4 linked regions of the Styela clava genome follow. The main gene of each other region encodes a partner of the protein of the gene in region 3 in a complex. Links are inferred from orthologs where the notes say so. Each region holds a gene or a part of one and is shown on either strand. Other genes may lie near its edges.

Region 1 (7,745 bases), on a different chromosome or scaffold from region 3:
CCTGTACTAAACCATATTTTACATTGTAACCAGTGCAATTCTTGCTTTCTTGATCCGTACCTGAGCGAGTTAAAATAATAAGCGACCCCGTATGACCATGGGATATGATTCACTTATTTATCCCTTAGGAAAGACGATAAGACGGCTCAGTCATATGACGAACCATGTCATCTCGACCGGTTACCAATCCATTTCGGGTATGGGATTAGATAGCCAGTTGTTGGTTTAAAATGGACTTGACCATAAAAAGCTATCGCTATTTTAAATATTTCATATTATAAAGACTCCGATTTAGGGTCATAAAATGCTTTTAGCGATCATAATGAAGACTGGCAGAGCCTGCACGACCCTGATGTGAAGTTTTTTGGTATATTTTAACGTTAAGTTAAGAGACGCCCCTTTGTACGGAAAAATAAGATAGTCGAAATGCTTGGAAAACCTTCAAAGTTCAAATTGTTTCACTGTATCGTTTGTAGATAATTTTCCTGTGTTTTGAACCTCGTACTTGATTTTTATTTATCATTCTGTTTACGTCTGTTTATTTTAAAGTTTCATTTATATTACATATTGCAATGTTTTATTTATTTTATATTAAAAATTCAAAGAAAAATATTTTCATGTCTGTCATACGATTTTCGCCGCGTTACTCGACGTGGCGGTAGACGTTTAATTTTTTAGAAGATTCATGGGATAGGGCAGGACTACCCAAATTTTTTCATCGAAGATCCCTACATAGAGCTTTAAAATTTCTGGGGCCCAGTCAATTGGTCGGTAGTTTATCTTTTCACATATGCCGAAAAAATGCATTTCAGTGTGAAGGGAGTAGAGTTATGATGAAAAAAGTCATACATAGAATATTAACAAAAGCAGGACTTTGAGGTACATTTGGGCGTCCCGGTGTCAGGTGTCACTCTCGCCAATGGAAGAAAACGACTTCAGTCATGACAGGCGGAGTAACAAGGGTCATTCCAGACAATATATTTCACTTTGCAAACAAAACTTAAATGCATAGTTTAATCACAGGGCTTCAAGCACTAAACATTTTAAATGTACGAGTCGCGCAGAAAAGCGATTTATTGCAAACAACAGTAAGAAAAATTCTAACGAACACATCAATTTTAAGTTGCCAATTGAGTAGCTCCCCGAGGTAGGTATTGATGTTTATCGCGAAGAGATGAAAGTCTATATTGGAAATATTGATTTGACACTAGAAACGCGATTAGGTGCCGAATATCCCTGCTGAAGAAATAATGAGCTTTTTGTCATTAGAAGGTGCAGGGGCGTAGCCAGCAATTTTCAAGGGGGGGTCATGCACTCGACAAGCAACTCACAAATAATTAAGCAAAAACACAATCCTAGGTATGAAATGCGCGTGCTCGAAATCAGCAAATTGGCAATCCATTGCTATATTTGCCCTGAACTAGTAAAAGATCAATAAAACGTCATTCGCTGTAGTATAGGGTTGCCAACTAAGAAAAGTTTCGATAAAGGACATAGATTACCGTCATCATTTATTTTGTATCTTGCAGGAAAGAACAATATAAAACAATTGAATAAAAACGATATATAAGCTGAAAAGATATATTAAAACAAATTTTATGTGTTTTTTTATTTTATGTTTATTTAACAATGACCCAAACAATGTTAATAAAATTGGACAGTTAGCATCTTTTCTAAATGCTAAAAAAGGCAAGGACCAAAAATCTTAATTAAAAGATTGTCCTTTGAAATGAAGGACGGTTGGCAACCCTACTGTAGTATTAGGTATGGGCGCGGCGGTGTGGCTCAACGGGCTAAGCGTTAGGAATACGCTCGCCACCGCACCTCTAATTACTCTGCATGGGTTCGCAGGTTCGAATCCCATGCAGGGATGATTATGTGCGAGAGGATTGCTGGACTCCTCGCCGTCGTTGGGTGGTTCACGTAACCGCTGGTCGGTTACGGCTTCCTCCACCACCAAGTCCATGCTTCCGAAAACAAACAATTTAACTAATCCCATACCCGACTCGGAATGGTAACCGGACGAGAGGTCGTGGTTCGCCATATGGATAAGCGAGAGAGGGAGAGTTTATTTCATTTTCATTTTGTCAAATCAAGAAAACAATTTATGGACACATAAACAATTATCAAAAAAATAGTTTTCGGTATATGACTGAGGGGCAACGATACGACCTTTGGGGGTCATCAGTAAGCCGTCTTATCGGCTTTCCTTTCCCCCGGGATAAATATGTAAATTCTATCCTATCCTATCCTAGGTCGTTCAACGGCCACCGCAATGCCAGCGAAATCGTTTTATTCATTTTCTTTCTTTGGCACATGGAATCCTATGCATTTGTGATGTATTAGCGCCATCTTTTGGCACATTGATTCCGTTGGCGCGCATATCATACTGTTGTGCTTCAGTTTTTCCTTTGGCTTACATATTACGGCTTCCTCAATTTAGTAATTACCGTATATATTCGAGTTGAAAAGTGTAAAATAGAATTGTATAACTTCAATTACACTTTATTTTTGCCGAAAATTCATATTCCTTTTTATATTCGTTTGACAATATTTTTAACAGGACGTCTATACAGCCGTCTTCAGTCATTTATCCATTCTGCGATTTGGCAAACCCAATTTCTACAGGGGTGGTGATTCCTCTACGGCCCATGGGCCGGGGCCACGGCCCATCTAATTGGGCCACATGGGCCGTGGCCCCATCAAGAAAAGTTCAATTATCTTACCAAAATTTTCAATTTTCACAAAATTGTAAATATTCGAACCAAAAAAAAATCGTTGGATGCCACCAATTTTTTTTCTTACGATAAGCCTTCATATAAAAATAAAGCAAAATACCAGGCTACAGAAAAGGATACTCCTGTAGTCTGTGTACCAGGTTAGGGTTAGGACAAAATTTTGTTCAGATTTTCCACATTATAGTTCTATTATGAGTTTGGGGACTTCTGTGTTAGCCAAGTGAATAGTCCCTTTGCACAACTTGATGGGCCGCGGCCCATAGCCTGATGGGCCGAGGCCCAATTCGATGGGCCGTGGCCCCGGCCCATGGGCCGTAGAGGAATCACCACTTCCACTCCCCAATTTTGTGCTGGCTAGATATGTAGATATAGGCCTATGCAGATAGTGATTTTAATATCAGATTTGAGACCTTTTTCAGCATTTCCACCAGTAATATAAATATACCAGAGATCAAACTGTCAAAAGAGTTGCAGAAAAATAAATGCGTTTATCATGCAATAAAAAACCTGAGTTTGTGTCACATATTTTTATGTCTTGCGAGTTTACCCAGAAAATTTATGATTTTGTTTACTTTATTATTGAAATTAATTAGAATACATTTTGTTTGCAATAAATTATGATTCTTGTATATTATTGAATTTTCCTGAACCTTTATATTTAGTCATATAGCCTAACAACTGTAGATTTGAATGTAATTTTACTTTTATTATCAATAGTGCGATATAATGTTTGGATTATGAGAAATTTTATCATATTTGAAAATAAACACCAGATATTGCTCGGGTCTGGTATAGTTTAGTACCACACGCACTTCTAGTTGGCCTGGCTTAACAATTTTTGCATAAGTCAATTCTAACCCTCACCTGACTATATCACCGAAAAATTAGGTCATTTCGAAGTCACAGTGGCGTAATAAGGCCCACCAAAGTATGCGGATAGTCGTCCGAAACGCGTAGACAATCACCCGAAATTGAGCAAGCTATTTCTCTCGTTCTCTCGCCACAACGATCCCAATAAGAGAGAGATCGCGGGCGTTTGCGAGATTGGCGGCGCAGATGCCATTTCGGGCAATCGTAATTATACTTCAGCAAGCCCTATGACGTGATGGTGACGTCGTAGTGACATAATTTTTGGATGGCATAGTCAGGTGGGGGTTAGGAATAACATATGCAAAATTCGTTATGCTACGCCCTCCGGAAGTACTTGTGGTACTAAACTATACTAGACCCTATTGCTCTCCTTACTTCCTTAAAAAGAAGATAAAAATGGCCCTAGTGTAGAGAAAAAATATGTAGTAGACAAGACAAACCCTTTGAATGGAATTACGAAATTTATGTGCAATAATATTAAGCAATAATTTGAATAATAAGTAGGTTTATAATATCGTAAGTTTTTTGCATAATTTGCTAATTTTAACTGAATAAGTATAAATAAAAAAGGCCTCAGATTTGAAATATTGGATTTCTGCCATATTGCCTAACTTCCGGTCTTATGCTTTTCCTCTACCGTTTCAAAATTAAATTATTTTTTCTCGAGGAATCCAATGGTGACGGCTTCCTTCTAGTTTATTACGCGGTGCCAGTTTGCCACGTTGAGTCGATATGCAGGCCCTGACTGTTTCATAAAGAAGGGGTTCACTCTCACTGTTATAATTGCAGAAAGAAATGAGGTCTTCCAATGACAATATGGGGGCTATTCTTGGAATTGTAGAAATGTGCCCTAAATCCAATGCTTTAAGCACACTGCATAAGTCAATCTTCCAGTTGTCTGTACAAGTCTACAGACAGACAGAGGAATAAATGTTATTAAATCCCATCTTAACATTTCAGTCTTGTGCAAATTCTCAGTTAAAAACCAAAATATTTCAGTATTTGTAGTGATTTTAATATCAGATTTAAAAAATAGATTGCTGCCGTATAATTGTTAGCTCGTGGTTTTTCACTACCATTTCTGATTGGTATAAATAAATGTTGAAATATGAAATCCTATTTTACAGTATTATTTTAATTTACATTATGGTTCTTTATATATTTTCAGTTGAAACACTAAAACAATTTTTTGATATTACTATATTGGATTTGGCAATCATAGAAAAACAAGATGGCTGACAATGAGGAATTTGTCAATGAGATGAACATAAACGACAAACTTTTTGATCCGTGTGGGATTTTAAGTAGCTGGGGGGTCGGAAATCAAATGATGGTCGCAGCTGGGGGTGACGTGGGGTCAGAACGACCCAATCAACTTGCTCATTTGCCAATTCTTATACACGAGGTACGCTGGAGTAATGAAATGCATTTAGACATTACTCGGAAGCTTTTGAACGAATCACATCGAATTTTTATCGAAGTGCAAGAAGCGAGAAATGACTTTCAAAAAAGTAGTCAAGGTCAACAGTTACTTGTGAAATTCAGTCGGAAATATCGTTCTGTTTTGCGAGCTTGCGTTCTCGAAATAAAATCTAAAATTGAGGAAAGTATAATGGAGGACGTTCAATTGGTCATGCAATTAGAACTGCTGAGTATGATGGAAATAATCTGGAATTTATGCGAAATACTTTTCATCGAAAATTCCCCGGCGGGAGTTGTATTGTCTCGTCTTGCGGAATGGTGCAAGTTTCATTTCACCCAAGCGGATGATTTTATGGAAGAATGCATTCAAACGGAACAACCATATAATCATGAATTGTACTGGAGCACCATCAAGTGTCTCGTCCTTCAAGGTCGAACGGACGACGCCCAAAACATGTTGAAACTTCACCCAGAGTGCCAGAGTCAAAAAGATAACGCATTTTTAAGTATGGAAGAGTTGCTGCGAAAAATGCCACATTTTACGTACTATCGCGGACAATCAGTCGTCGAATTCGAGATGAAATGGAACCACTGGCAAGAGGAGTGTCGTCGTAGGTTTGACGAAGGAGAGTTTAATGTTAACAAGGAATTACAAGAAATTGCGATGATTTTATGCGGAGAAGACGCTGTTTTTGAGAATCCCGATTATGGCGGATGGCATCAAATGTTGATATCGAGACTACTTTTCACACAACCGACCGTCAGCGTCATGGAGTTACAGCATCATAGTAAAATATCTGTTGAATCGTGCGGTGGACATGAACACCTCGGAGCTTTTGATCATATTTTACTTGCGGCCTTCGAACTCGATCCGTATTCTGTTATTAAAGAATGCAGTCAGCAGTTGAGTAACTGGTGGTTGGCTGCTCATTTATCCGACATTTTTTACCATCTTGGGATTCTGTCGCAAAAGAAATTAGAGTTTGGGGTCGATTTTCATGAACTTTTGATTCTGGAGTACGCAACGAGTCTCATGTCACATGAAAGTCTATGGAGAGTTACGATTGATTATTTGTCAGCATGCTCGGAGAACGAGAATAACTATCTCTCTCTATTTGTGCGAAAAATTCCAATTACAAGCGAGAAAAAAGCTTCAAAATTGTTACGTATTTGCCAAAATCGAGGATTGCTTGCAGAAGCACAAAGTATCTGTCGACAAATGAGTGTATCAGCGCTACAGCGAAATCGTTTGGGCGCTGCTTTATCGTGGTGTTTAAAATGCAATGATTCAGCCTTAACGATGCGAATTGCAGAAAAAATGTTGTCGGAATACGCTCGAACTGGTGAATTCACTCATATCGATTTGCTGGATTATTTAGGACCTTCAATTCTGTTATCAGATCGATTGACGTTTTTAGGAAAATATCGGGATTTTCACAAACTTTACGCCGAAGGCATGCACAAGGAATCTGGGAATCTACTTCTCAACCTACTCATCTCAAATATAGCGCCTGTTGAGTTTTGGCCGTCGCTACTCATTGACTGTCTCCCTCTTCTTGAGTGTGAGGAGATCGTGTTCAACGCTTCAGACTCTGCCAAGTTACTCGCTAAATCAAACACTCTCGACCAAATCAATTTAGACTCAGAATTATCGGACTCTGAGAAAGAAACTCGACAAAAACGACTGGAATTACTTAAACTAAATATGTCAAGGAATTTAGCCAGAGCTATTGTCAATGCGGGGTAAAGAATGTTCAAACCAGGGATGGACAAAGTCGGATTATCTGCTAAAAATATTTAAATAACGAATGTTTTTAAAGTGAGTCGTGTTTAGCAAAGACATTTCGATGAGTTTAATTTGAAAATGCAGGAAAGATTAATGCAGTAATTTTAACTGTTTTCTATTTCCGCATTCCAGGAATAAAACGATGATGCTCCAAATTGTTCAAAATTATAATTTTCCAGAATAAAATATTCTGTTTCACCATCTTTGCTACCAGTGAAATGTTTTTCTCTCATTTTACCATATCTTTCTAATTGAAGAGGGTCAATTGGAACTACCGGTAAGATCTGAAGCCCGATCCGAAATTCGGGTCAGGTCAGGCCTGAAATGTTGATCATTACGTTCGGGTCGGGCTTCTCTATCGCTGACTTTTTTTTGAAATAAATATATGTTTATAAAAAATATATACTAAAACTATGTGTGGAATTCGAAGAACTCCTAAATAAAATATGAAATTTTTGGTTCGATTCGATCTCTGCCTGCAAATCCAGTTAATCAGTCGGGCTCCGGTCAGGTCGGGTTTTATACCCACGGGCCCAGGTGGTATCAGTGGCTCCTTTCCAGGCCCTGTTCATGGTAAAACATTCCATGAAAATTAGTTTCAACTTATTTTTGTGCTTGATTAATCTTTGCAATGTGCTGCCTGTTTTTTGAGAATTGGTAATTCTTTGCTCAATATAATGCTTTGTACTGAATTGTTTCCGTGTTTTGCATGTATGGATGGGGTTGTTCTGGTTTACCCTTGTTCTAAGTTTTTCATCTTATGCAAGATGTACTGTAAAAAGTGGGGCAGAGGAATAACGGACTGGATTGTGACTAGTTATAAGCATTTTTGTGAAATAATGTTGGTTTATTGTGCAAGATAGAAGTCAATGTGGCTCATTAGGACAGCGGAAACACGAGTGGAACGATTTTGTTACTACTCCCAAAAT
Region 2 (7,933 bases), on a different chromosome or scaffold from region 3:
GCATACTTCGGGAGGCCTGTAATTCTTTATATTGCTAGATGGTAGGCCAGGCTTACAAAAATGAGTCTCTCTTGTGCTTTATATAGTTGAATAATAAGGAAGAATCATTTACCTGATGTGTGAAACTAGAACCCCTTGATTTAGATGAAGGAGGATCAGATGAAAATTGTTCTTTATATTGAGAAAAAATATTTTTACTGAGATCTGATTTTAAATTGTTGACAATTTCTGCATATTCTTGCTGTAAAAGAAAAATAATTCAAGCAAGTTATGTATGTAGTTGTAGAAGAGTTTTAAAACTTATATTATTTCATTTTAAATTCTCGAGTCAGAATTATACACATTATATTAGTCGGCAGTAGGATAAATTTTCCAACCAGAATTAAAAAGCTTGCTGCATCATAGTTTTCATAATGTCCATTTATAATATAACACATAAAGCTAGATATCTTGGATAAACCCAAACTTCATTATCTAGTTAACTCAGGAGTGTTAGTAAATTTGAGGCAACCAATTTCAATGTTTAATGCTATAATATTGCAAGATTTTCAATTCATTTTCAATTCAGACTGGTTTGGCAGCTGCGTTGAATTTGGATCATTGGTATCACAGGAAGTTAGGCAGACCAGGACAGTGGGGCAAGCTAAATTTTACGAAGAGCTTCTATTAACCTAATTGTAATCGTTCCATACATGTAAGTAGCCTATCTATTCAATATTCACAGCGGCAGTTGGAAATTTGAAGAGAGTAATAAAGCAGTTTAGAATAGGTTTCTTGTTCAAATGAATTATGTGGTGAATGATGAACGTTGGACTTGGAAAATAAATTTTCAAATCACAAATATTCCCATATTTCCATCCTGACAAAGCAAATAATAGTTTATATCTTGGCAGACATTCATTATATCATCTCTGAACATCTCAAAACCCAAAATATACATTGATGATTAGGAATTGCAAAACCTATACTTGAGATTACAATGGTAAAATTCTATACCTGAAAATCATGAGATTTATCTTCAAAATAGCTGAGTACATGCTTTATGATTCGCAGTAAATGTAACCTGAACATAATAAAATATTTAGAATCAAAAGAAAAGACTTTTTATTTGATAGGAAAAAATTCGATCTCTAATTTAATAACAAACAATAAAAAAATCCACATCCCAATAGACCACTTTTCTAGTATTCTTAACTTGGCATCGAATCTTAATTAAGAATAAATAGAGCGCATTTATATTAAAATTCTGTGAAAGATGGATGAAAAAGCATTGCGCAACTTCTATGCAACGCAGTTCATAATAACCTATGATAGGTTCAGATTATCACCGAAAATGCCAGTTGTATTAGGGTCTCCATATATGCTGCACTGCTGAAGGATTTCTATGATGTTCGGAATAAATAGGAAATCTTATCTTGTGATCAATATTCAATTTCAAACATATTATAGTTCTGACATTCATACAAAAAATGGATTGGAAAATGTAGTTTTCTTAGACACAAATTTGTTCAAAAGATTTTACCTTTCACTAAAGAAATATTCGGTTATTTTTCCGATCAATGCAAAATGACTTCTGTCATCTTCTAAAAGTTCGTTGAATTTTTCTTTTGATCCGTGAAAATCACAAAATGAATATTGAGATATCAAATTCAGCGTTTGAACAGAATCAAGGTTCTAAAAGTTTGGATATTCAGAATAAAATAATATCAAACAAGAATGAAAATATTTTAAGAATTGTATACTTTCTAAATCAGACTTGATGTGAAGATTTAAACTCTTTCAGGAAAGAAAGAAATAGGGTAGACGACGCCGAACGCAACAAAATATTCTGATCTTTTTCTACATGTATTTAACATTTTTATGCTTTCTTTGAATAAGAACAAAAAAAAAAGTACATTACAAAAATGATACCAGAAACTCTGCTAGCTTCAAACAAAATGTCTGCAGGTTGGATGAGATGCTTTTGTTATTCTTCAATTTTTTCTTTGATTCTTCGCTGTATAAATATGAATATAATTATTATACACATCCTCAAATTTTAACTTAAAATATACTAAAAGAAATTGCATCAACAAACCCGTTTGTCTTATAGTACTTCAAACAGTTTTCAAGACATTGAATATTCTTGTTCAGTTCATTTCCAACAAGATCTGCATCTTTTATGCACGATCTACCAACTGTGATTCTCCATAATTCCTGAAATGGCCTGAGAAACAAATAAAGTAGGCTACTATTAGTTAGAAAAATATCATATATTCTCAACTTGAGACATGTATTTGTAACATTATCAACAGTGTAAGCAGTTACAATACATAGAACTGTACATGATATTCAGGTTAAACAAAGAGTCTAGGACAGTGGTTCATGAAGGGTGGGGGGGGGGGGGGGGGGGGGCATAGACAATTTTATGAGGGAGCGTGAAGCTAATTAAAAATAATGATCCTGCCGATCTTATTGTGGATGTGTACATTTTTTATTTTGGACATTTATGTTCAATCTATGTATTTTCAATGTGTTTTTGAATAAATCATACTTTTGGCTTACTATCTGGTATTTGTAATTTGCTTATTGTTAGCTACTGTAGTTATTTTGGAGGTGGGGCGCGAGACTTGACGAATTTTAAAAAAGGGGCGCGGCTTAAAAAGTTTGAGAACCACTGGTCTAAGAAAATGACATAATTTGATTGTATTCTCTCGAAATGTTTAAGTTTTGAAATACTACATTCTTTTTGTTGAGTATACATACAGTAGGATCACAACCTTTAGTTTTTAGCAGAACTTGGCATTTGAAATTAAATATGAAATAACATAAGTAAAGGATTTAGTAATTAACAAAATTATAGTGAATATGCTAAAAATTAAAAGGCAGAGTGCTTACATGGAATATGTCCTGTCATCTTCTTTCATGATTTAGCAGATTGAACCAAGCAGGGTTCAATATATATCAGTCTTATAAATACTAGAGAAGACTAAATTGAAAATAAATATAAATGGACTATTTGCAGAAAATTGTGGAAAAGTAAAAACATGAAAAATATTGCAAACACACGAGGCAAAATTGTAGCAGCAAAAAGTTTAGAGGGAGCAGCCAATTATTTCAGCGCAACAAAAAATATCTGAAGTTACGGTACTCCATTTACTCAAAGGACTAATTATAAAGGGACAGTATCCAAAAATTCAACTTCATCCATGAAGCGCTTCTCAAAGCAACTTTCAATTTGGTATGATGCAAATACCATTTATCAATACGAAAAGCATCATTCCTTTGCTGTCAATACCATACATACTTTGCTTTCTGCATAAAATTCTCTCTTTATTTTTGAAAACCTTGGCTTAGTTGATCACATAAATTAGTGTTGTAACCTTCCTATCACAGTAAAAGTATTAAATGATTTGTATCAAGCATTATGTACTATAAAATTTTATGATCATCAGCACAGAATAAATGTCTTTAAGAGTTTTTTTCACTGTATCAAGAGTCATTATTCTCCTGTTTTATCTCGTTTTCAATATGGTCAAGAAGATCTTCGTTTGGAACATCGGTGATATACATTCCTTCCTCTAAACATCTTACAACATTCTTTGGAATTCTTATGGGAAGAGAAAAGAAATCCCTACAGGATTGTCTGTCATAACAACGCTGAATGATAACTCTTTGATCAAGATATGCCAGATAATAAACATTGTTACTTTTGTGTTGCCTACCGATATTCCGACAATATCGATTCCCCCTAATGCTATATTTTACTGTGTTTTCCTCTGCATCGTATTCTATACTACCAATATGACCAGGAGTATCGTTCGTTTGAATAAGTGATTTAACATAATCATTGAGTTCTAGACAATCAAAATCGGAGTAAAAACTATCATGTGTAAAAGATGGAACACGCCCACTGGAGATTGGAACATTAGGAGTTCGTTTTTTGATTTCAAAAGGTATAAGATAAATATCTGTATCATCAACATTGCATATAAGTGAAGCATAGAATATGGATTTATTGTTGCCACATTGAGATAATTCAGGCCCAAAAATTTTGTTCGACTGAGCCATTTCTTGTGATAGTGGAACATGGAGAGTGTCGAATTCAAATTTACAATGATCTGATCTCAGTAACAAAGCTTCTTTCCCTTTTTTGCAAGACTGAAACAATCGGAAGTGACGATTTTTTGTATAGACCGCTTTGTCCACAATGAGTTTATCTTGCCCTCCTGAATGTATCGTTAGTCTGTGTCGAAATTCAGGATTTTCACACAATTCTTCAACAAAATCGCCGACTTCAAAATTAGATCGGAATGCAATACCTGGTATTCTGAAGATCAAATGTTGACTAAATTTTTCACTTGTACTCGAATCTAATCGTAATACATTCCATTCTGAACATACAATTCCAAAATCAGACTCCAATTTGTTGCAAGAAAAACAGATCAGATCATCAACAATTTTATTAGCATCAACTTCAGTATTACTTTCTTTTAAAAACTCGAGGTCAAAATAAAGATGGCACGGTTTGTTTTCACGTATTACTTCATAAAAATGTCGAGGCCAATTATTTTTCATCATTTTCTGATATTCCCACCAGAATTTTTCGTAAGTGCAAGCAATGAATTTTCTTCCTGAGCGATTGTTTTGAAGTGAAATAACAGGTTCGACTGCAAATATATGAATGTTTGGATCGTCTCCAGCTTCGGTAAAAGCATCATCTTGTTTGTGGTGAATATTCCAAGGTTTTTCCATAAGGATCACACAAATAAATCAGTTTAAATCTCAATAAAATGAATCCATATAAGCATTATCACAATTACATTCAATCTATAGCATAAATGGAAAAACTAAAAATGTTTAAAAGAAGAAATAGAACAAACAAACACTTTTATAATGCACCCAAAACACTTGAACATTAAAAGAGTTGGTTATAGCCAATTTCAGAATTATAAAGCACTTCCTCTCAGCCAGGGATAAGTTGAGGTAAGTTAGAAATACAGTTAAGGCCCAAAGCATTGCATGTAGGAAATATGTGAAACAGATTTTAAAAATTAGTTGGCCTTCTAAAAAAGTTATAAACATTAGTATAGTACAAGAAAGAACGTGACTTGAGCAGATTATGTTTTGTTCTCTATTGCGTTCAATAAATCATCATCGGTAACATTTCCCCAATCATCCTCATTTTCACTTTCTGAAATTTTACAATAATTTTCACTCTTATTATTATCACTAGTATCTTTTTCAAGTAAGTTAACATAATCTAGCAATTCTTCATCAGTTACATCAAGACCAATATCAACAATATTGTTTGAAACTTCTTTAGGAAAAGGTATCGGAGAAGATTGGTATCCTTGTGATCTACAAACAGGATCAAGGCATTTCTGGTAACAAACTTTAGAATTTAGATCAGCAACATAATAAATATGATTGCTTTTGTGTTGCCGATTAATATTATTACAAAATCGATTTCCAGAAATATTGTATATTATAGTATTACTACAAGGAAAGAAGGTCCACTTGTTAACACAGCCTTTTGTATCATTTGAATTTACAATAGAATTTATGAAATCTTTCAACGAAGGAAATGGAGATTCAAAGCTATCAGTATGAGGAACATTATCGCTAGAAAGTATCGTGTTTAATTCATTTTCTTTTTTTATTCTTGGAGGCATGTCTACTGAAAGAATTTTAATATTTGAATGGAATTTTACGTTCGACACTAGGGAAGCATAGAACACAAGTTCATTGATGTCCTTTTCTGTCGATTTGTATCGTTTCACTGGAGGAATATTTTCCTTTTCTTGAGCATGGTGCCTACAACAAGCAGCTCTTACGTTTCCAAAAGACAAATCGAAATTACAAGTTTCTGATTTCTTTAGGGCAGTAGATTTACCCTTTTTTGTAGACTGAAACAAACGGAAATTTCTATTTCTTGTATATACGCTTTGATCAATAAATGACACAGCTTCACCGTTTGATGTTAGTACTGTAAATTTATTTCCACTGTTATTGCATATGTTTTGGACAAAACCCCCAACTTCATAGTTGTTTCTAAAAACTGCATTCGGAATGTGAAAAATAAGATGACGACTAAATTTAACATCATTCGATGAATCAAGTTCAAGAACATGTTTTCTATCACACTTTATTTTGAAATCTTCAAATAACTGTTGGCAAACAGAATTGATGACTTCGTCAACTAAATCTCCACCATTTATAGATTGATTAAAATTTTTATGATATTCCAAATCAAAGTACAGATGGCATGCGGCATTTTCTTCAATTACTTCATAAAAATGTTTGTCGCTGTTTTTCATTCTTGAATAATAGAACCAGAATTCTTCGTAACTTGACACAATGAATTCTCTTTTTCCTGATGATACATTGTCAGATTTTGGTTCAACTGCAAAAACCCTCAATTCTTCAGACTTAGCGTGAGCATGACGAAAAGCCTCCTTCAATCGAAAATATTTCGACCATGTGGGTGGAGGACATGGCAAGTCAGACAACCTCGGCGCATAAAACTTGTGAATGGGGTTCTCTGTGTATTTTTCAGCCAAACGTTCAACTCTTCTTTGAAATCTCAAAAACTTTTTCTCGCACGCCATCTTAATAACAATTAGTTTACAAAAACGAAATAAATTTAACCATTGAATTTTCTGAAATTAATTCAAAAAATATTTTCCGTGTTTTTAAATTACCGTTTCTCAAATACAACCAACTTCATGGAACATTACCTTCAATTTTCATGAAGAAAATAAATAACAGGATTCCTATCTCACATATGCTATCTCTTAACAAACTTGAACCGTGACAAGATATCTTGATATGGCGTTTTTGAATAATTTACTGGCATTGGCATACGCATCAATTTTTTAAATTTGGGGGATTGCATTACCAAAGCTTGTGTGACACCAAAACCACTGGAAATAAACCAATAAAACACCACACCTGATGGCATGTAGATGGCTACTGGTATCATAACCACAGAAATGCCCCGCAAAAAATTTATCAAATACTTGGATATACCTTCTAAAGGTGTTTTACCATCACCCCTATGTATTTCAATAGTCGCAAGGTTGGCAAATGCCATTAAAACAGGCAAGACAAAATATGGATCCGCAAGACATAAGTTATTGAACCATAAAACGCCTTCTTGACTTAATTCAGTATATGTTTGTACTTGTGTAGCTGATACACTTGTAGTAAATGGTAAAGATAGAGTCATATTTCTGAGTGAAGCAGTCATAGCAAACCATATTGGAAGTTGTACCCAAGGTACTAAATTTCTTCTCAAAGTACCAGGAACTTTATGCTTCTGATACAATTCCTTTTTCCTTTTATGGAAGCTGTTAAAAACATGCATGTCTCGAGTTTTTTTGTCCCATCTATGTTCTTTACCAGCTTCAACCGCCTCTTCATTCAATTGTTTTATAATTTGTTGCAAAACTGGAGCCAGTAGTTTATGTTTCAAATTTTTCTGCATTTGCCATATAAACAAAGGGGCTGTGATTGTCAGTCTCAATGACAGAGTACAAATAACAATAGAGACCCACCAAGGAAGACCAGTTAAGTCATGTACTGTAGTCAAGTATGATTCCGCCATCTTGACTAAACCACTGTCAACAAAGGAACTATAGATAGATTCCCATGTAGTGGGTTCATAATACTTCCCATAATCAGCAGCATAATCCAATGTCTCTGGTGGGTTTGATTGTGAAGATGAGACAAATTGAGTTGTGTGGTATCCAGATCTATTTGATTGCCAAAACCGTCTGTAATGAATTACATGGTGTGGGTTTGAAGCGATTCTTTTAACTGCAACATTAATTAACAAATGCTTCATTCTATTATTACTAAATTACTATACTCAAAACATTACACTAATTCCTGAAAAAAAAAATACAAAATACATATTTAAAGGCAGTGTGAAATAAACTTTTCCTAAATG
Region 3 (7,990 bases):
GGCCGTACCTTTATTTAAGATAGAATTTCTAGTAGTTGTAGACTTTCAGGCATAACAAAATTGTTTCTTTTTGTTATTGATCAGCATTGGTGGGGGTCCTTGCAGAAATGGTTGAAACGCAAATATTTCTGAAGAAATTGCTATTCAAATTTATTGTCACACCGACTTTAAACGAATTCATTAAGAAACACATTTTATAACATTGTGTATTTTGCAGGATTTTGCTAGCTAGTTTTGAAATGCTAGTTTTGCTAATATGACAGTGGCACTCGGGTACTGGTATAGACTTTGCATCGGAAAAAGATTGGAATTGCTCGCAGGTACCAGATTAACTAAACTAAAAACTCGTTTCGCGGCACATTATTCAAAATTCGCACTTCTCAGTGGGACGCACAATTTTTCCCTGCGGGCAGCAGTTTGCAAACCCCTGGTCAAACACACACAAAAAAAAACAAGAACGGGTTTTCTGATTATCACATTCCAGCCCCTGAATCTCACCAATGCTTCTAACCATCAAGCATTGATATAATCGAAGTAAATATTTTCAACAATAAGACAATAAAATTGACTAAGAATTTTTCGGAAAGAAAACTTTTCTCCGCGACTAATCGATCTATCAATGTTGAATTTCTAGTACATTACTGTAAAGGACTGAAGCGGCTAGCTGGTCACTCAAATTTCACAAACAATTATTTTTTTTACCATTTATAGTTTTTTTTTTCTACCTGGCCCCCGAGCCATTTAAAACACTCAATAATATTTTAAGTATTTCTCAACCAGTGCGAACTTCTACTAATTTCATGAGGTCAAATTTAACCAATAATTCTATAGGGAGATTTATTTGTCAAGCTGATAGAAACTGTCGCAGCAAAACACAAGGCCAAGGTTGAAACATTAATACATGATGAACGAAATTTGCATTGTCAATGTTTCATCCTTGGCATTGAGAAATAGTAAGAGTTTCAATATTGAAAATCTCCTTGAAACGATTCTGCTTTTTTGTCTTCTACTCGTTGAACAGATCTGCGATATCTTTAGAAAAATAAAATGAAAAATCATTAACATATTATTGTTTCACACTTTTGCTAATAACTTGCAGTGCTACGATCGGTTAGCTCACCCAATTTTCTACAACCGTGAGTGATCGATAGGTTTGCTTGATAAATTTCCCACAACTGCGATATCAATATAATTATGCAAAATCGACAATAACCCGCCCAATCCAGTAAATACAATATGAATTGCAACATAATTGATCATTTTGATACTGATACTGACTTGATCAATGGCATAAATCCGATAGCACTGATCCGTTGGCCAATATAGCCAACACACGCACCATTTACCCATCATGACGGAAAATATGGAAGTAAATCAATTGGTTTTATATTTGACTTCTAACAAGTTTTTATGTTAATAATTTTTCAGCTTTTTCAATAGTCTTGAGTTAGGCGATAGTTCCCACATTTGGATAATTGCTAAATTTTAAAATGCCGCACTGAAGTTCATAACAGTGGTCGGCAAACTTTATTTACTACTGAGCCAAATATGCACATTGACGACAACAAGCAGACCATATTGATTTCCGCCGGTAAATAATTGCCAAATTGAACTTCATTTTATCACGCACCCTCAACTGCTATTTCTGTGTTAATTACAACTAACAGATCGACAAGTAAACGACTGAAATAAGATTTCGCTTACGCTTATTACTACAAAACAAAGCCGTACAACAGCCGTTTTACGACTTTTATTTGGCGCAGATAATGATATTGTGAGCAATTTTTCCTTTTGTGCATTAAAGTTGAGGTCGTTCGGGGCCACCTAAAAATTGTTTGCGGGCCGCATTTGGCCCGCGCATTGGCAGACCACTGTTATACAGTAACGACAACACGACAGTCAGATGTAATGAACGTCTTATAGAGACAGTGTTAACAGTGGCGCTAAAAGAATTTTACCCTCCGCAAGTTTTTGATCCAACTTTTTCGCGCGCTCAAGTATGGAATCAAACTGTTGTTGTTGCTCGGCGCTTGGTTCCTCATCTTTTTCTTCATCTCCTTTGAGGTAACAGCGTCGTCCTCGGAATTTACGCCTTCGTCCCCATGGCCAACCAGGCCTTGGATATCTTCTTCGAATTTTTCCTGGGCCCGGACTGGATGGAAACATAGTGAATTTGAAAAATATGCTTGATTGTGAATAAATTTTAAAGGAAAAAGGGACATCTCGAAGTATGTGCACCAAGATGGCGCACAACCTGAACATAATATGTGTACCAGGTTAGGGTTCGGGTTGTGCGCCATCTTGGTTCACATACTTCGGAAGCGCCAAAAAAAAATATACGTATTGCTTGTTATGGGTTCTAACAGTTTTCAGCCTAGTTACAACAAAATAGCAACTTCAAAATCGAAAATACAACAAAATCGTGTCAGCTAGATGCACAAATACTTTCATCACATAAAACGTTAAAACCTAATAAAGCCATAATACTAACCAACCTTCAAATTAATCAGTGGAAATAAAGAATTAGTCAGTGAATCATTGTTCCGTATTAAGACGCTTCAACTTAAATTTATCAAAGACAAAATTTATCGCGAACAAAAACAATTTTGTATTCAGTGAATTACTGTATTAAAATAGTGTCAATCAATAATTTAATTTGTATTATTATTTTCAAGAAAAACCAAACTTATTATTTGACGCTTACAGCTTCCGATTCCAAAATCAAACACAACCCAAGTAGAAGCAAAATCAAAAATGCCTTGTTCATCTTAAAAAATAAGATATAGAATTATCTTATTTGGATCAAAGATCTTTGATTCGGAGCACGTTGTAATCGTCAAAAGTTGAAGTTACACCGATAAAAATCATTCCAGAACACATTGACAATTATTTTGAAATCGAACTCCACGTGGAGGCTGTAAATTTTGAACTTTTTTCAATGTCTATGTTTACATGTTGTCTTTACTTTCAAATAGGAAAGTTACACAACGCATAAGTCTGCACGACGAAAACTCAATCCCAAAATCTAAGAAGCCGACTATTCCGAAAAAAAAAAATAAATATTGGAATGTTACTCAAAGGAAAAATTTATTATATTTCCTAGCTAACCTTGATTCAAACTGTTTGACACAGTTAGTCCACTGGATACACGATGAAATTCTGGATGAGCATCACAACCCTTGTTTATATTGATAATTCTCAATTGCGTCACTGCCGTGTCATTCGTTGCATTGTCTCTCATAAGGCAAAAATAGACGCATGAAGAAGATGGCTCACTCTCATTTTAATCATACATTTCCGGTTTAATATGCTGTTGCGGACATGAATGGATTTGGGTTCATGTAACGTCGCTAGAGTCACGGTCGAAAATTGTACTTCATTCCGATTTTTTTTTTGTTTGTAGGACTATCGAGAAGCATTTTGCTGTTTTAAATACGATAAGCGTATGATCGGAATGCTTGAAACAAACGACACGAGCGGGGCTAAAGACACTATCTGGGGTGGTAAAGTGCTGAGCTAATTTTTATATTTCTATGTGGCGTTTTATACCTTCTCTACAACCAAATCTTATTTTCAGTTATAAATAGGTTAATTGTCGGTGAATCTGTCATCATGTTTTACTACCGAAGCGAAAAGGGCAAATAAATAATTTGAATAAAAATGGTGAATTTAAAAAAAAAACTAAAATCAAATTTTAGATAAAAGAGTAAAATAAAAGCATGCTTGTTTGAAGAAATGACACTATTAGAAATTTGTTAAGTTGCCGAAAGACTTCCTCGAAATCGATTTCACAATCTACACCCTACACGGAGCAAAATTTTGTAAGCATTGCTACCCGCGTTGCTGATATCGCAGTCTGTGGTATTTTATTTACTACTATTCTTTCTGCTTTAATTAGGTCATGGGTCATTTGAAATAAGCCTAACATTCAGTTGCAAGATTTTTTTAGATTTCTAACATATGGTGCGATAATGTACAAGAATAGCCTTGGATGCTAATTCAACAACAAAATACATCTATAACAATCTCGATTCGTGCAATTTGTTGTGTGTAACAGATTATATTTTATCTTTTCGTTTTGTCTGTTGTCAGGTCAAAAGTTTACTACAATAAAACAAATATAATGCAAATATATATTATATAATAATATTTATCGATAAAAACAGTACCACTGTTACTAGGATTACTAAACGCTATGCTACCTTTTATAGGGGTTTTGTATACTATAATATTATTATTATATTATATAGTAAGACAAGAGAGCTACGCACAAATATATGGACACGTTAGACCAGAGCGAATCAGTCCTTACCGGTACCTTTGACGCTACCGGTACCCTCAAAAAAGTTCTGAATTTCCAGTAGCAAGAATTTTGCAGAATCAAAACGTACAGCCAGTCATGACACTGACTAAAATCCGTGTTCCCATGGATAAAAAATAATGCAGCAAAATTTTAGACGAAATATCAAATTTCATAGAATTCACGCAAAATTTTGAAATAAATAAAAGTAATAGCCTTCTAGCGAAAAAATTAATCTTTAACCACTGAAAATTTCAAAGCAATTGGTCCAGTATTCGAAGAGAAAAGCGACTTTTTAAAAACGTGTCAAAGAACAAGAACAACAACAACAACAACAACATAATATTGAAACGATCGTTATGTCCACTTCGTGTCCAACAAGCGAAACGCAACTATAAATAAATATCCGTTGTTAGTGATAATGGTTTTAAATTTTGCATGTGGATAAAATGAGGATACAAGCGACAATCCGATAACTTTTAGTGCATGATGCAAAATTTCAATTAACTCTTTCAATAGTCGCTACTCGTAAGATTGAAATTTGTTGCCAGACAATCCCAAGCTTTTTTTCCGCATTTCCGTTTTTTCACTGGAAATGCTTGAGCAAGATCAGAACCGAATTTTAATGTGGTGGCACGAACTGCAAACCATTGGCACCGTCTAAATGCCACTATATTGTGGCGGGAGCGTACTGCACTTTTGTAGTTCGTGCCATTTCAGCATTCCGAGTTCTAGAGATTGGATTTCTGTGAGGTTTCATAACTACAGAACTATAATATATTATTAGGTCTGTAGGTATTTCATTTAACGAGGACCGGGTGTGATGATGGAGAGGTGGGCTCCGTTTAAAGAGCTGTGGTCAACTGTTCAAGAAATCGTTCTCAGAAAAAGTGGATCGATTCATCATTTCAAAGCTCTTCTTCGACGCCACAGACCTGACTTCTTAAGCCTGCTTAAAAACCCTGTAAGCATCTGTTATTGGTATTTTGATCTCGAAGCTCTATAGACTAGTGGTTTCCAACCATGCTTCTTCTATTCAGTATGACACAGTTTCAGCAGTTGCAGTTTGCAGTTGTCCAATTTCAAGAATATCCCCCACATTCAGACATTATAAGACAATAACTATAAAAGTGAGTGCAAACCCTCCCTTGCGAAATGTTCTGGGCCTCCGTACAGTCGTACTGTATGGAATCAAACGGGCAAACTGGCATTGCATAATGAACCATCTGATCATTCAGCCATTGTTTACCTTGAAAAAAAAATCTAATTTATCACGGTTATTTGAATTACTATTACCAAGACAATCTTTCGCGATTTGACACATCTGTCATCGTGTCATACGGCCATGTTTCATAGACAAATAAAGCCTGTTTCATTGAACCAAATGTTGAGAAATCCTGGAATCGGAGAACAGTGCCATACTGCCAGTACAGCATTGCAGCCAGACAGTTTGGGGTTACCCAAGTTTACATTTGAATCCAAGAGTCCATATCTAGATATAATCACATGCATATGTAACGTTTATCTGAATGTTGTTCAAATATAATCAAATACACAGGTTTAATATGTGTGTTCCACTATTACGCTTATGCCTTTGAAGACAATCACATTAAACCGTTAATCTAAATTTTTTGATTTGCCTAGTCTAGTGTATGATGACATATATGCAAATGCACAGGAGTTCTTCAAGCTGTCATGGTTTTGCTCCACCAAAAAGGTTTAAAACCACTGTTTTTGACTATATTCCCTTAATCCAGGAGTCTGGAACCTTTTTGGTCAAGAGAGCCATAAAAGGTAGATATTTTCGATTGTATCTCTGTGCGAGTCATATAGCATTTCTTCACTTAATCAGGCCTGATTTTTACTCAAAAGTCAACACATACAATGTCATATACATTTATTGTGACTTCTGATGCTGCATGTTGACGCTGAGGGCCTTGAACGGCTGCTCACATGAGCACAAGTTAAAATCTATGATACTCATCACCCTTCTTTCGTTTAGGCATCTTCGTAGTATTTTAAAAACTAGCTTTGCTAGTCTGATCTAAATATGACAAATACTGTAACTGTAACTAGTACGTAAAAATGGACAAAAAGCTTTTTTCTATTGCTCCGAGACTACCGATTTGTGATGTCACAATATATGTTCCAGAATCACATAATTTGGTCACAATGCCTGTCTGGTAATTCTCTTACAAAACATAGACATGCGCTGGGCACGCGTTCTCAAACTTATTGGCAAATTTGTCTATAAAAGAGTTTGAAATCTCGTTACAATAGTAAGCTTAGCCTCAGAATATTAGATTTTTCTGGAAGCCATAAGCCGCCACCAAAAGAGCCATATATGGCTCGCGAGCCATGGGTTCCCGACCTCTGCCTTAATCCTTTCATACTGTAACAAGATATTATTCAGCCATCAGATATCTGGATATTGCAATGCTTCAATACTTGGATATGCTGTAGTAAAACTTCAATTGTAAGTAGGGTAGTCGCTAGACAAGCAAAAAATTGGAAGGTCAGATCAGATGAGATCTCAAATAAAATGCTTGCTTACTCCTTTCCTTTTTCGAAACGTTTTTATTTATTTTTGGTTATAGGTTGATATATTTTCTATTTGACTCAATTTGATTCTATATATACCTCAAAAAAGGTATTCTGTGCAAAATAAACAGCTGTTTGACAAATTTTCTGTTTTTCTAGCGACCACTCATAATATATTATCATAATATACTTCTATTTTTAACAGGTGAAAAATGCTGAGCATCGGACCAAAGTACAAAATGCAGTGAACGAAGGTTTGAGTCTCAAAGGAGAAAGTTCGCCGCAGACATTCTCTCAAGATTTTATAGATGAATCTCTTATTGTCAGTGATTTGTTCAATTTGAATGAGTTTTCTGCCGTTGAGTTATTATTGGAAGGTAAGGTTGTATAAATCAATGTATTTGTTAATAGCATTGCCTATATTTGTAAAACAAGGTACAAACATTTATTCTAATAGTCAACTTGTTGAGAAAACATTCAAGAAATTAACTATCTGTATTAATCGATGTTAGACGATTCGTTAGTCAACGATTCGTACGGTACTCACCATTAAAAACAGTAGTTTCCTAACTCTAAAATTTTAATTTTTCAAATTACCGTAGATATTTGAACCTTGGGTGTCGCTGCATGGTAACCAGCTTTGGTTCCCCGCGAGTTCCCTTCCCCAGTAAAAAAATCTATAATTCATTCGAAGTTTAAAACTGATAAAGGTTGGATTTAACCATTCAAATAGTTATTTGGTATTTTGGATTAAAATGGTAACCTTCGACCGATTACCCCTTTCTCTACGCCTCAGTGTTAGTAGATCCATATGCTCTACAAACGCTGCAAAGATATTGTTTTTAAAAAGTAAAATTCTTGTGGTTCAGAAGTCTTCACACTTACAAATATTATTCTGTTAAGTTCTGCCTAGCCCAACCAAAGTCAAACTTTTTCAGAAAAGCAATATCAAGAATATTCTCAATAAGTTGTACATTATTAGCATCTGTGTGCAAGGTAATGCCAGTGATAAGTTTACAGATGTAAATAAAGTGAACAACTTCAAGTGGAATGTACGCTGTGATAAATGTTTTGAACAATTCAATTTTATTCTGAATTTTGGATTACTATTTTTTCTAATTAACATAGGTGAGAGGCAACAACCTCACT
Region 4 (7,007 bases), on a different chromosome or scaffold from region 3:
TGTTCAGTACATCCGCGTAAAATTATTGGATAAAAAATACGTTGAACCAGAGCAAAATGGACATACTTTGTCATTAATTTTGGTAGTGTTTTTACCTAGAATTAATGGATAAAAAATATGTCAAATTAGAGCAAAATGGACGTTTGACCTTTGACCCCAAACATTATTTTCATACTTTGTCACTAATTTTGGGAGTGTTTGAGCAACTTTAGATACCGGTACTGTTCAGTACATTCGTGTAAAATTATTGTATGAAAAATACGCTGAATCAGAGCCGTACTTGGCCATTAGTGCGGAGGCGATCTTTTCGTCCATAACTATTCTCACGGGATTCCTATTTCCTATCATTCAACACGATATGGACCTTTCCCCGAGCATCGACTTCCTTGTTTACTTCGTGACATTGGCCAATCAGCAAGATGCAAAAAAGGACGTAACAATGAGAGGAATTTTTCGCGGGTCAAAGCCGTAGGCTTGCACGTAATTGACAAAAATCAATTCCGTAATTACGGCAAAATCAATTACGTAATGACCCCGTAATTGTGATATTTTTCCACGCATTTAAACCTATCATAACAACCAATTGAATCCACTTCTTTTCCGAATGGGACATTGAAGTTGGGTTTTCATATTCTTGGCAGTACTACACGCCATCGGCAGATGTTAAAGACAAATATCAAGGAGTGAATTCAAATTAATTTTATTCTGATTTTTATCTTTTGTGTTAGCTTTGATTTCCTTTATCACCTTCGCAAATTAACCGTCCCATTTTTATGCGATCAATTTTATTTTATCATTACCGACACTGGTATACGGTTATTTATGGAAACGATAGTTTTTTAAAACCACCTTAGTACTGAATAAAAATTAAGGGTTTCTAATTTATTAACCAACGACGAGCGTATTCACTCATTTGATTATACTTGCGATTTCCTCGCGACGAAGACTTGTTTTTGCAGCGTCTTCTGCATTATCCGACATTACTGCCTTGTTAGCATTTTATAATAATAATTATTGATGTCGACTTATTGACGATATTCCGATTACCATGCTTCATTTTACATTTAATCATTTCGCGGACTGAATGTTTAAAACATTATTTGCGATAAATTTAGATTAAATATTATTTATTTGAGTATAGTTTAAATATCGAACTTATATGATATGCCTTCTCCGAAAATACAAAAGTTATATCGCAAAACAATGCATTTTGTGACATTTATTTTACACTCACGACATTAATTTGCTAACTCAAGTCGGCGATCCTATCGGCCAAGATTGACACAAGTTTGGTCGAGTGCCTTGGTATTCAAGTAGACGATAAATCAAAATAAGTTGCCGCATTTGGTAAGACAGTTAATCATACATGGCCGAAATATTGAGAGGAATTGTGAAAAACATCATGCGCAAGACCAAGTCCGGACTGATATATAACGATAAAACCGTTAACAGAACATCAAGATTTTGTAATAGAAAATGGATCTCGCACAGAATAAACACACTGGCTCATATTTGATTATATATGATAGCAGTTAAATTTTTTTGCGGTCCGCGAGGAATCCGTCGTTTTGCTGTTTCTCTGCCGTCTCAATCGCTTTACCGATGCCGAGAAGACGAAGTTGCGTTGGTTCATTACGCAATCTCTCTTTTGTCGTCATATTGCTATTTGATAAGCGCGACATTAATTATCACGGCGAGGTATTGGCGCGAGTGATCAATCGCTCTTTTGGCTTATTTGGTTCCAATTCGTCGCGAAAGCTCTTCGTTAAATTTCACAAAATCGTCGTGTTGAAAGGTTATGGATATTTTCCTGTTTATACCCAAGTATGAAATAAAACAGCCAAAAACAGTATGATATTCCATGTTCATATATCAAGTGTTGATATTAACATTAAAGAATGGTTAAGCATTGCTAATCCACACTTGGTGGGGAATTCCCACTATTTAAACGCGTGACTATAAAATAAAATGAAATAGAAACGGAACATATATACCATAAGTAACGGAAAACTGGAACAAGTAAATAATAAATAAAAGTAAAATGGATACAAATGTTTGATAGACCATGTTTGAAAGATTGATCTCCTGCGTTCATTAGTCATTTCACCCGAAGAAGTTGAAACCGGGCGTGTTAGCGTCCATCGGTCTTAACACAATTCTTCCCCCTATCTACGGTTATTATGTACATTGGCCATGGCCATGCTAGATAAGATGCGAGAGAAGTTGAAACCAGGTGTGTTGGCGTCAATCGGTCTTAACGCAATTCTATCCCTTATCTACGGTTAAGTTACGGGAGAAGTTAAAACCAGGTGTGTTGGCGTCAAACGGTCTTAACGCAATTCTATCCCCTATCTACGGTTAAGTTACGGGAGAAGTTAAAACCAGGTGTGTTAGCGTCAATCGGTCTCAACGCAATTCTATCTTTTATCTACGGTTAAGTTACGGGAGAAGTTAAAACCAGGTGTGTTGGCGTCAAACGGCCCTACTCAGTTCTTCCCCCTTAACTACGTTAATAATTTACATTGGCCATGCCAGAGAAGTTGATAATAGGTTAGTGAATGGCAACGCGTCATGCCCTCCTTCACCTACGTAACAAGAGAGAGAAAAACGGCTGCGAATACCGGAACTCTAACTTCTACTTGTTGAGCTTTCATTTTTCGCAATCGACGAAATTGACTGCTTTGAAGAAAGCTCGTTTCAATGCAATAATTACGACTTTACGGAATTCGTAACTTCCCTTCCGTAACTCAAAATAATTACGTAATTCCGTAAATCCGTAAATTACGTGCAAGCCTAGTCAAAGGTTGGGGAAAGGTCCATGGTCTTTTTGCTTCGCAATATTTCGATCAGACCAAATCTTGCAGGCTGGTATTTGTCGACAATTGTGGAGTTATAATATTTTGGCATCTTTATATTACTGGATTATTGATTTTAAAACCATTTAAACCGATTTACATTGGTGAGCAATTGCAAATTTTCGGCGTGCAAAATTGATTTCGCTCGCGTGCATTTTTGCGGAGCGCTAGCGCCCTCGGGCGTGCACCTGCCATGGAATCCAGTCTGGGGGTACGGTAGGCCTACCTACTGCTGTACTGTGAAAATACTGCAATACTGGTACCGTACCTCTAGTCTCTCTTCTCTGCAAAATAGGATGCACCCACCACCTTCTTCTTTTGCATCTATTTTTTTTTTTATCCTTGCGTCTTTTCAGCCACAACAGTAATCCCAATTTTTGATGTTTGCTCAAAGCCATCGCCAAACCACAGAACAAAGCACCGGAACTCAACTCAAATCTCAGACAACGCAGCGCGTCAACGCAAAGGAATGTTTCCTCGAGAATTCGTTGCGTTGACGCAGTGCGCCAAAATGATGCGTTAACGCAACAACGCAAGTTTACTTAAACAATTAAAGAATAACGCACTGGTGTGAACAGATGTGAATGGGCCCTTACATTGTATTGTAAAAAACAATTTTGCAACGAACGCATAAACGGTAAAATAATAGTGTCAAACGTTTAAACAGCGCAGTTATGAATTTAGTATCTTGTAATTTATTATTCATAAAATTATCCCAGTTTTTCGGCTGATATAAGATTAACTAAACTTTGATTTTCTAAGTTCTGTAATCCCGCCCAAAATCAGGACAGACAACAGCTATACTCTGACTCCCACTACCGGTGAATCTACATGGCTGATTAAAAAAAATTTATTTGTCACAAGACACAATAACTAACAGGAATAAGGCAAAGCTCTGCGACGTGGACGCGTTCGGCAATATTTTGCTGTTTTGTGAGTAATATGTTTCAGTTTAGGATACATTTTTTATTTAGGCGTTATGTAGATGCAGGTTTTTTTGCTATAATATATATATTTAGATAGTTTACTTTGAATATTCCGGAGTACCGGTACCGTACACAACAAAGTTGGAGAATTCTTGCTTATTGTGCTTTTGTTGTTGTTCAACCTCTGTACCACTTACCGGTAGACTACCTGGCTACAGACTTATCGCAGAACCGAAACCGGTACCGTACCGGCACGTGCTATTAATTCCAATGTTTATTTAACTGCTGAGCTGTGTTTAAATTGTTGATATCATAGTAGACTAGCCTACAGTGCACTGATTTTCCAATGAAACACTTTTTGACATAAGTTACCGTAAGTCATTTCCAATATAAAGTTTTAGATTATAGTAATTAATATTCAACCTAAAATCATGTCTGGTGTTGAACTTGACGATATTTTACAACAAGCAGAACGACTGACAGCGGATCTTGATGGTGGTAACGAGTTACCAAGAGTCCAGCGTAACCTTCAACAAATTTTGGACGCTGGACAAAGACTCTGTTCTGGAACCCCAGCAACCCATGATAATGCAGAAGTCAGGGCTTCATTGCTTCTTAGTAGACGTGGGCATGAAATTCCGCAAATTTCTGATAGACTGAGGACGTTAACATCAGCTGCACAGACCTTAGAGCCATTGGAACCAGTATGTGATACTGATATTGAAGGCTTTCTTCGAAATGAACGAGAAAATGCTATACTTGCTGTTCTAGAAGAACAAAAAAGTAAGGCTTTTCAAGCTGTTGAAAAATATTATTGGCAATCTAGAATGAGTGAGTGGGAAAAACAAAAGCAGAGTATACTTGGGAAGCTTATTGGCAGCGATGGAACTTTGAATTTCACCCAAGAATTTTCTGAAGCTGGAAGAGTAGTTGATGACTACAATACTTCTCGTTCGGTTTCTCGGAGTGCTATGGATACTTGGGAAGTTGGTTATGCACAACAAGTTTACATCTATAATGAAAAAGTATTATCTGGATCGATTCGACCAAATTTCGTAGATTTGTGTCAAATAACGGCTGAAAAAATACGAGATGAAAATATTATTTCGCTATGGAATATGGTGAAATATGTCCTGAATGCTGAAATATCTGTAGCGGACAAATCTGTCCTTGCAAGAAGATTGTCAAAAAATGTAATCTCTTCTGTCGTTGGCCAAGCTCGAAGTTATTTAGAAGACATGTACAGAGATTACATGATGAAATGTGTGCATCAGCGCCCTCATGTGGCACAACTTGGTGGACGACCAGGCACTATCAATCTTGTTAAAAGTTTTTTGAAGGTAAAGCCTCCGCATCAAGTTCATGAATACAGAAATATCGATTGGGCGATTTTGTATTTTTGTCTTCGATGCGGAGATCTCGAAGCTGCTTGTGAAGTTGCGCAATCTTTGGATGGGACTTTCCCAGAGCTTTCAGGTTGGATTAACGAGTATGCTAAAGATCGTACTTTGTCTCCAACTTCTGAAAATAAATTATTATTACAATACAAAAGATCAATTCGAAATGCTGGAAATCCATATGCAATCGCTATATTTTGTATTCTCGGTCATTGCGATTTTATGGAGTCACATACAGAAATCGCTGGAACAACTGATGACTATTTATGGGTAAAGTTATGTCAAGTTGTCGTTGAAAAGTCCTCTTCAACGCAATCCGAAGTTTTGACCTTGCTAACGCTTCAAAAACTTCTCTCCGATTATGGAGAATCCCACTTCAACGCTACTTCAAACCCTCTACTGTATTTCCAAGTATTGTTTTTGACTTACCAATTTGAAGCAGCGATTGAATTTTTGTCTCGATTTCCGAGTTTACGATGCCATGCATTGCATGTAGCACTAGCGCTTCACGAAGCAAATCTATTGGTGAAAGCAACCAATCTACATGACGGGTTGATCAGTTCCAAGCCATCTGACCAATCTCAATTCACGAATGTACAACGACTAAATTTACCAAGATTGTTAATGATGTACACTCGGAAATTTGAGTTGACTGACCCAAGAGAGGCGTTAAATTACTTGTACTTTCTCAGAGATGAGAGACATGAAAATGAGAGTCTCTTCTTGCAATGTACGAGCGAGCTGATTCGTGAAACAGGCGAATTCTCGATGCTTTTAGGGGGTTTGAATCCTGATGGTAGCCGGCGCCCTGGATTAGTGGATAGATATTGTGCTGGTGACACAAAGGAATTGATTGCAAAAGTCGCTGCAGATACGGAAGCCAAAGGTCTCTTTGAAGATGCCATCCGATTGTATGACCTATGTGGAAATTATGATAATGTTATTACGCTTCTAAATAGGCTTATGTGTCCTCTACTACCGTCTGCCGACCGTGCCCATTCTGACCGAGTTCGTATCAAAGATCTTGCTGTTTCAATTGCTCAGAGATATCGCTCACTTGCCGTTGAGCTTTCACAGGATCTGAGTTCCACGTTTTACGTTCTGCTTGACCTCCTGACCTTTTTTGACCAGTATCACCTTCGTCGTTACGACACCGCAATGGATATTATAAATCAACTTCATATCTTGCCAACTAAGCCTGAGCAAGTTCAAGACAGGGTGAGAAATTTTTCTGCGTTTTCCGAGGAAGTTCGTCAAAACATTGGGGAAATTCTGCTAGCTACGATGAACATGTTAGCATCTCAGAAAAAGGCTCTGCAAAGCAATAAAATCTTAGAAGTTGGGGCGACACGTTCTTACGCAAGTGCTTTACTGACTTTTGCTGGAATGCTTCCATACCAGTTACCTGGAGATATCACATCAAAACTAGTGCAAATTGAGGTTGATATGATGTGAGAGGACATATTATAAGTACACTGAAATGTCCAAAATCGATTGAATATTCGAGACCATTCGAAATGGGTTGGCAAATGTATGACTTAAGAGGTATCAGAATATTTTCATTTGGATATTTGTCAATTTGGGTATTTGACATCTGACACTATCAATTTACCATGATTTCTGCAAATTTCTCTGCTGAATATGATATTCCACATTCAAAAATATTATCACAGAATGTATGGCTTTTATTAATTTTGGCCTGTAAGCATAAGGTATGTTGCTTGAATGCCAAACACTATCCATTTTGATCAACTTGGTACAATCACACTGATATCAAAATTTACATTGTAAACATTGACGCTTGGCAACAAATAAGTGCTAATGCTAGT

The links.
Region 1: the proteins of nuclear pore complex protein Nup205-like (region 3) and nuclear pore complex protein Nup85-like are in contact, whole or in part, in a cryo-EM structure (PDB 7TDZ), measured with the Xenopus laevis proteins. The link is inferred for Styela clava from reciprocal best matches to the Homo sapiens genes NUP205 and NUP85. Residues at the interface, in XP_041443600.1 of Xenopus laevis: Glu1477, Cys1480, Arg1481, Cys1484, Asp1485, Ser1517, Gly1518, Tyr1519, Leu1520, Lys1521, Val1522, Val1524, Asp1525, Ser1574, Gly1575, Gln1582, Gln1638, Gly1641, Gln1642, Gln1645, Val1648, Leu1690, Asp1691, Ile1692, Gly1693, Leu1694, Asn1695, Asp1696, Gly1697, Ser1698; in XP_041431608.1 of Xenopus laevis: Ala86, Glu87, Glu88, Ala89, Ser90, Gly91, Lys92, Ser93, Arg94, Lys95, Pro156, Pro239, Met240, Gly245, Thr246, Gln247, Thr248, Leu249, Thr250, Glu251, Phe252, Glu253, Leu254, Lys255, Trp256, Gln257, His258, Trp259, Pro315.
Region 2: nuclear pore complex protein Nup205-like (region 3) and nucleoporin NUP188-like share a complex: the UniProt entries of both Homo sapiens proteins name them as parts of the nuclear pore complex. The link is inferred for Styela clava from reciprocal best matches to the Homo sapiens genes NUP205 and NUP188.
Region 4: nuclear pore complex protein Nup205-like (region 3) and nuclear pore complex protein Nup93-like share a complex: the UniProt entries of both Homo sapiens proteins name them as parts of the nuclear pore complex. The link is inferred for Styela clava from reciprocal best matches to the Homo sapiens genes NUP205 and NUP93.

Annotation. Positions count from the first base shown.
Region 1 is NC_135263.1:560,610-568,354, reverse strand, and holds nuclear pore complex protein Nup85-like, read left to right. Parts: upstream 1-4,745; 5' UTR 4,746-4,839; coding exon 4,840-6,777; 3' UTR 6,778-7,508; downstream 7,509-7,745. UniProt on the Homo sapiens protein: Essential component of the nuclear pore complex (NPC) that seems to be required for NPC assembly and maintenance. As part of the NPC Nup107-160 subcomplex plays a role in RNA export and in tethering NUP96/Nup98 and NUP153 to the nucleus.
Region 2 is NC_135260.1:11,105,838-11,113,770, forward strand, and holds the start of nucleoporin NUP188-like, read right to left. Parts: upstream 3,004-7,933; 5' UTR 2,907-3,003; coding exon 2,878-2,906; intron 2,207-2,877; coding exon 2,078-2,206; intron 1,997-2,077; coding exon 1,912-1,996; intron 1,675-1,911; coding exon 1,523-1,674; intron 1,064-1,522; coding exon 997-1,063; intron 242-996; coding exon 113-241; intron 1-112. Other genes in the region: DNA-directed primase/polymerase protein-like, read right to left, coding at 3,472-4,734; DNA-directed primase/polymerase protein-like, read right to left, coding at 5,100-6,590; cytochrome c oxidase assembly protein COX18, mitochondrial-like, read right to left, coding at 6,770-7,828. UniProt on the Homo sapiens protein: Component of the nuclear pore complex (NPC), a complex required for the trafficking across the nuclear envelope. Required for proper protein transport into the nucleus.
Region 3 is NC_135252.1:18,333,816-18,341,805, forward strand, and holds the start of nuclear pore complex protein Nup205-like, read left to right. Parts: upstream 1-4,984; 5' UTR 4,985-5,123; coding exon 5,124-5,264; intron 5,265-7,046; coding exon 7,047-7,218; intron 7,219-7,969; coding exon 7,970-7,990. UniProt on the Homo sapiens protein: Plays a role in the nuclear pore complex (NPC) assembly and/or maintenance. May anchor NUP62 and other nucleoporins, but not NUP153 and TPR, to the NPC.
Region 4 is NC_135264.1:9,869,974-9,876,980, forward strand, and holds the start of nuclear pore complex protein Nup93-like, read left to right. Parts: upstream 1-3,998; 5' UTR 3,999-4,212; coding exon 4,213-6,633; 3' UTR 6,634-7,007. UniProt on the Homo sapiens protein: Plays a role in the nuclear pore complex (NPC) assembly and/or maintenance. May anchor nucleoporins, but not NUP153 and TPR, to the NPC. During renal development, regulates podocyte migration and proliferation through SMAD4 signaling.